Caenorhabditis elegans: one gene and its partner. The protein of the gene in region 2 purifies or fractionates together with the protein of the main gene of each other region. This does not show direct contact. Each region holds a gene or a part of one and is shown on either strand. Other genes may lie near its edges.

Region 1 (3,363 bases), on a different chromosome or scaffold from region 2:
CTTCGCTCTTGTCACTTCTCAATAAAGTCTACCAAATTGTATTGTAGCAATTGTTTTTCAGAACTCGTTAAACGTTATAGTTTAAATAGTATATTTTACACTTTTTTTGGAACATTTGATAATTATCAACTTTGTTTAAAACTTCATCTAGACAGAAACTAAAAACAAAAAATTCAAGGCAGAAGATTTCTAGTAATTTTGCAAACCACGTTTAATTAGAACTTGTCTAGTTCTCTTTTTTATAAATTCCGCATTTTAAATGTTTTCGTTTGGTAGTTTGAATCATAATCCCAGCAAGAGGAAAACATGTAGCATTCAATTTTTTCCCTTGCAAATTAGTCTCTGAAAATACAAACCAACTGAACTGAAGAAGTATTTGTACTGTGAAAATTGCAACGCAAAATAATTGTTTTTACAATGCATTCTGATATTAAAAATACTTTTTCCAAACTGGGAAAATTAATTTCTTTCCAGGTTGTCTTGGCCCCACGAGGCGGGTTCCGTGATACGGCTCCCAAGAAAAGCAGATTTGACTTTAACGAAGCAAATGTGGTGAGTTTGGGTTGGTTTATATATTTATTAGGATGTCAAAACAAACAATGTTTATACATAAATAAGAGGTACGCTGTAGATGAGATAACTAGTTAATTGAGGAGCTTCTTGTTGAGAAAATCGTCTTCATTTTTCACTTCCGTCGGTGCTTCTGTCGTTGTGACGCCGTTCTCATTAGCAGCCTTATCAAGCTTTCCCTTGATTACATTGAATCTCTTCTTTTCGAATTCACTCATCTCCTGTAACATGGAATAGTAAGAACAGTTAACTATATTAATGAATTACATCAATTTTGCAATGATCCCTTTCTGATTGATATTGGCAAACTTCAATTGTTACATCAACACGGGAGCTTCCGTCGCGTTCCATTTTAACGTCACTAAAAAGTGATTGTTATAGAAAATGCTAGTTAACTAGAGAATGCTTACCGAATGTAGTGGTTTGGTGCCAACACCGGATTGGTTCTGATGGATGGACCAAGGACGGAAATGGATTCGGTGTCTCTCCAGATACACTTTTCACGACCGCTGCTGTCTGCAAAACGCAACATTTTGGTCGTGTTAATCTTGCGATGGCAGCTAGTTTTTGAGTTTCTCGCCGATGTGAGTCTTAGTCACTTGTTACATTATCCTCACCTGTCTCCACTCTAGTAGCCAATGAAGCGCAACACAAAACCATCAAGGATTTCGAGTTGAGGAGAAGGCCAGAAACGAAAGTGCGACGTCCGCGGAAAGTGGAGAACGACGTATGTTCATTACATTGCTTGCGCCATTCGCATTGCACCGCACACGTATATGGGATGAATTTGGCACAGATCGCCTAAATTGCTGGCTTTTAGAAGAGTTTGATAATTAGAAAATTCTTAGAAGTATGAAAATTCTGACTTACATTTGTGGACTCGTATGAGAATAATTTCTGGCCAACATAACATTGAACTGCCGAATAGACAACAGTAGGAAGAAGACACGCTATTACCAATTTCAGCATGGTTCTGAAAAAAGCTTTTGAAATATGTGGTTATCTTGAATCCGATGGCAATTGAAAGAAGAAAAAAATGCAAACAGAATGGCAGAATGGGACGGGTTTGTAAATGAAATGAAGTTGGAAAAAGGGGGGGGGGGGGTGGAGATTCGTGAGATTCAAATCTTGCAATCTTTCACAAAAGGTGAATTCGTGAATTTGTGAAATAAAGGCGTGAATGATAGGGGAAAAGTGATTGTTATCCCGGTTTGGGTGTCTGGCCGGACGGGCATTCTTCAAACATCAAGCGATAAGACTAGTTTCCAGCTTCAGTGATATAGAACTGATTATACTACTAACGCGCGTTAGCTACTGTTTAGTTTGGCTAAGGTCGAGGTCAAGGAAAACTGGATCTTTAATTGCATCTTGGGACAAATACTTTTTTGTCCAGTGAGCCTGATTGTGTTAATATAGTTTAATAAAATTTTAGTGTAATGGCATCCGAGCAGATTTCACGCGCAGAAAAATATGAAGTGAATGGCGGATTATGAAGAAGTGAAGGGCTTCTCTGTGAACCTTAGAACCTGTTTCCGATGGCCGCGAGTTGTGCCCGCCCCTCATCATATCTGAATTTAACCTTTCATGGCCGCCCGTTTCGTAAACGTAAACATGCGCAGCAAAAGATAAGGATAGAAAGTGAATACAGATTCAAAAATGTGAAATCGAATGGCAAGTATCTTATCGTATAGTATTTTTCGTTTAACGAGGAACTAACAAGCCACCAAAAAAGCGGTATTTTTTATCTGGCATTCAGCTGGGGGTGGAGAACGTCATGAAATTACGTTAGGTACGCAACATGTATGACCATTTTACACGGTTGTACTATAGATGTTCTAAGAAAATTTGTATTGTAATATGTCATGAAAAATTCAGATAAGATAATTTGATGAACATACATTTCACGACGTTGAGCTTTTGATACATGGCTTTCAATTAAAGTTAAGCGCAAATTGCGTTCCAAACAGTATAGTAAATTTCAAAAAAATACCAAATTGAGGATTACATTCTAATTGAGAAAACAAGTTATTTAGTTTTTTATTCGATAAAGAAACGAAACAATTGTTCATGACGCTGCAAATGTTTGGAATGAAGTTAATTTTTGTTTTTTCTAATGCAACCAACTGCTCTCATTATTATTTCTTCTAACCGTATTGCACCCTACTACTTGACTTTTAACAGTTATCCTTCTGCTAACTTTAAATTAAAACCTGAAACAGATTGAACAATCTGTTTCAGGTTTCAAAAGCATTTTTTCATGAACGGATTAGTGCTGATATGTGAACAATCATAAACGGTACAATTTGATTTACTGTGGGCTTTTGAAGAGAGGAGATATACAAAAAAACATTGCTAGGAAGAAATCACCAATTCGATTTACAATATATATATATGGTCAACCTAAACGTAAAACATTGAATATTATAAAATCAAAATTAATTCACGATGGACCGTTTTTGAACATAACTTTTACAAGCTTCATCATGACAATGATAATATGACGATCTTATGATTTTGCTTTCACAGTGTGCGAGGAAACGAGTAAACAGAATAACGAAAGAAGAACAATATACTCGTTCTGCTAATCAGTGTAGTCGGTATTCGATTGTTCTCCTCCCCTAATTTTTTCCACGGAGAGTCCTGTTGAGAATGGATTCTTCAGCTAGCTTCAACAGCTTCTCCTTCTTCTTCTTGTCTTGTGTCTGTTTCTACTTCTCTATCTAGTTGTTCGTCAACTTTTTATGAATAGCCGCCAATCGGTCGGGACGGCGGCGCAAATTGCGGGAAAGAGAT
Region 2 (3,681 bases):
GAAAATAAATTCAGATTTTACGTGCCAATAGAGTTGTACTTTTTTTTGTTGATAAAATTACTAACCATTTGATACATTTTTAATCTTGGTTGCACTCAACAAAACTTCAAGCGTATTCAACAACATTGTTAGATTCTGATTGCTAATTCTCAATCCAAACAGTTCAGCAGCCAATCCACGAATATTGGGATCACTTGTTTGTGCAGCAGCATCCATGCAATTAAGAATAATCTTGAATACAATTGGAGAATGAAGTTCTCCAGCTTGCGGATTTCTAACAAGAAGTTCTCGAGTATAAAGTGATCCACATAATTGAAAATGATCCGAGATATGAGCAAGTCGATTAGCCAATCGCGATTGAACTGCTCGTAGAGTTTGTGAAGAACATTTGATGATCATTCTCGACATAAGACAAAATCCTAGTTCTTGTTCTTTACGTGTTCGATTGGATCCAACGAGACGGAGACATTTTTCGAAAGTCTGAAACTTATTTGATGAATGGATCCATGACAGAATATGTAGGTTTTTAGATAATTCAAAAAAATTTGACAATTTCTAACCTGAATTTCGTCTTCTGGTTTTCCAACCATTGTTTCTTGGACGACTTTTCGGATTTCGGTCATCTCTGAAAGGTGTTTTTAAATTATAATATGGAAAACTAATCGGAATCATTATAGCATAGATATATTACAAATGATACGAACAACAAAAAAATTTTCAACATTAAAAAAAAGTGTACGACTCAATATTTATCCGAAATCGAGAGAAAAAGAAACGAAACAAAAGACACATAGTATTCACAAAAAACTATACTATTATCAAAAATCATTTAAAGAAATATCTCATCGACATCTATTCAAGCAGTGGCTTCTTTGCGAGCCTGTCTTTGAAGCAATCGTCGTTCACGTTCGAATTCTTTGATTCTCATGATATGATCATCATATTCACATTTATCCCAAGCTCCACGTTCTCCGTCGCACGCGTGTCCGGCAAATGGTGCATTTTGGGTCTGAATATAATAAATTATTTTTGCTGTTTTTGAGAAAATAATTTTAGATGTGTATTTTTATATAATTTTAAAAATATATCATTGTAACTAAAACAAAAATCTTACTTGGCATTTCATGAGTGAAATCAAGTGGTGAGCACAATAATCGCGTTGAGCTGGCTTCAACTTCCACTGCTCCATCTCTTCCCAAGTAGCCTTCATCTCGCGGACCTTGAATATTAAACTTTATTATATTGAATATTTATGAATTAAATGAACAGTTATTTAATGAACTTTTAAAAAAGTTGTTTACCTTTCTCGGTCGCTCGAATCCATACTGAGGATCGAAAGTTGGTGGTCTGTCGACACGTGGCGCGGTTTCTGGTGTACTGGCTCCTTCCAATGAGACGGACAGTTTAGTTCCCATCTTGGCTGAAAAAAAAGGAATTGGTACAAAATAAAGAAAGCATCAAAACTCTTCTGATATTTGAATCAACTCAAAATAAATAATTAGCATGCTTAGGGCAGCGAATGCTTTGCTGATAAGAAGTGAACAATTTATATTTTAATAATTTAACATATTTTTCCGGAAAATATTCTTCTAAAACGTTAAAAACAAAGTAAAGCTGAAAATTGGCACAAAAATTGCCCGAAATAAAATAAGATAAACAACAAGCACTTGTGTAATATCGGAGTGTCGTTGTAATCAAAGTGAGTGCGTGCAAAAAGCAAGTTTACAGCGGGTTCATTGACCGAATTTTCAATGTCAAAAACATTTTCTTATCTAAACTTTTGTTTGTTTCTGTTACTTTTCATTTTCTCACAGATGTTTCAATCATTTAAACGCTTATTACTTAGCATTTTTCGAGTTTTATAAATTTTATTAAAGTACAGTAACCATGTTTATAGATTCTTCTTTTGAAAATGGCATCCTTCCGTTCTACACTCGCCCTTGTCAATTCTGCTAAGCTTTCGCTGTCCACAAGAGTAGGTTTTTCTATTTTTTCTGATGAAAACTATTAGATAATCGCTTTTTTACTTTAAAAATTTTGACTTTTCAGACCATGGCTTCCCATCCATTGGCAGGACTTCTCGGAAAGTTGAACCACGTCGCCATTGCCACACCAGATCTCAAGAAATCATCGGAATTCTACAAGGGCCTCGGAGCAAAAGTTAGCGAGGCTGTGGTTAGTCTTTAATTTTTGTTTCTTCCTAATGTCAATAAAAATTTAGAGCAAAAATATGTAGAAAATATTTTTGTTAAATTCTTTGTAGCATAAATCAAAATAAAAATTGAATAGCCTAAAATTTTGAAATAGCATAACAAAAAACGAAAAATTTTGGAAAAACCCCTACAACTGAAAAATGAAATAAAATGCGAATGAAGCGAATTTTGTGTACTACAGTAAACTTACTTGAAAAATATTTATTTAATTACAAGTTTTTTCATAAAAATGATAAAAATCCGCAAATAAAAAATAAAATGTCTCATCTAGTTTATATTAAAATTTTTGAATTGAATAATTACAGCCACAACCAGAACATGGAGTCTACACTGTCTTCGTTGAGCTTCCAAACTCAAAAATCGAGCTTCTTCATCCATTCGGCGAGAAATCTCCAATTCAAGCTTTTTTGAATAAGAATAAGGACGGTGGAATGCATCATATTTGTATTGAAGTTCGTGATATTCATGAAGCTGTTTCTGCTGTTAAAACAAAAGGAATTCGTACTTTGGGTGAGAAACCAAAAATTGGAGCTCATGGAAAAGAAGTAATGTTCTTGCATCCAAAGGATTGTGGAGGTGTACTTATTGAACTCGAGCAGGAATAATTTGATTCTTTGTTCCCAAAATCTAGCAATCATATTATCTGTTTGACAAAGTTTTGATCTTCACTTTTTTGTGAGAAACTTCACAAATTTTAAATTTCGCAAAAGTTCTCTCAAAATTTTTTATTGGCAGCCTATAACTTTTGAAAAATCGATAATATGATATAAATTACAAAAAAAAAAACTATAAACCTTTCTTTTAGCACCCAGTATTTTGCATAGAGATTAATTTTTGATACGTTTTAATCTGTTCACATGTTTTATTGTTTCTTGTGCCATAATAATTGCCTACAACTTCAATAAATTGTTTCATTAAATTTTCAAAATATAAATTCGTTTACATGTTTTCAAAAATATAATTTGAATTTTAAAGCGAAAAACTACGAAAAAACATATCAGAAAAGAATGTAAAATTTATGGGTAATATGAAAAAAACCTATTTTCAGAAAAGTTACAGTGGATTAGGATTTGGAAAAAAAAGAAGAAAATCAAAACTGTATGAACTACACTCTTAGAAATTTCAGACTTAAGCGAAGAATGTCAATAATCAGAAATCAAAAACAAAATTACATCTATGACATAATCAGTATAAGATGGTCCCTGAGCCGTCAATCCTGAAATTCTAGTGGATATACTACGCACCTATTTGAAAGAGGGAAATTCTTTTTTAGAAAAATATTTTTCCAAATAAGACGAAAAGAATTTCAATCCAAAGATGTCCAAAGTGTTTGCGAAAAAGCTCGGTAAACATCGTTTCACAGTTTTATTCAGTTATTCAACATCGTTCAGTCTCTTTTCCTCTCCCTCGTTTCCAATTAGAAAACGACCTTTTTCGGTTCTTCAATCGATGCGCGCGAATTGTTCGT

Evidence for each region. The genes of interacting proteins can lie anywhere in the genome.
Region 1: the proteins of mce-1 (region 2) and ZK154.1 fractionate together in Caenorhabditis elegans (co-fractionation; one large-scale study listed by BioGRID). This does not show direct contact.

What each region holds. Positions count from the first base shown.
Region 1 is NC_003284.9:7,777,802-7,781,164, reverse strand, and holds ZK154.1 (Apple domain-containing protein), read right to left. Parts: upstream 1,589-3,363; 5' UTR 1,540-1,588; coding exon 1,441-1,539; intron 1,372-1,440; coding exon 1,188-1,371; intron 1,087-1,187; coding exon 981-1,086; intron 932-980; coding exon 838-931; intron 792-837; coding exon 645-791; 3' UTR 558-644; downstream 1-557. Other genes in the region: ZK154.4 (uncharacterized protein), read left to right, coding at 475-552.
Region 2 is NC_003279.8:7,580,209-7,583,889, forward strand, and holds mce-1 (Methylmalonyl-CoA epimerase, mitochondrial), read left to right. Parts: upstream 1-1,897; 5' UTR 1,898-1,912; coding exon 1,913-1,975; intron 1,976-2,049; coding exon 2,050-2,175; intron 2,176-2,518; coding exon 2,519-2,818; 3' UTR 2,819-3,125; downstream 3,126-3,681. Other genes in the region: D2030.3 (Fanconi anemia group I protein), read right to left, coding at 66-480, 561-623; ndub-7 (NADH dehydrogenase [ubiquinone] 1 beta subcomplex subunit 7), read right to left, coding at 857-1,009, 1,115-1,219, 1,302-1,415.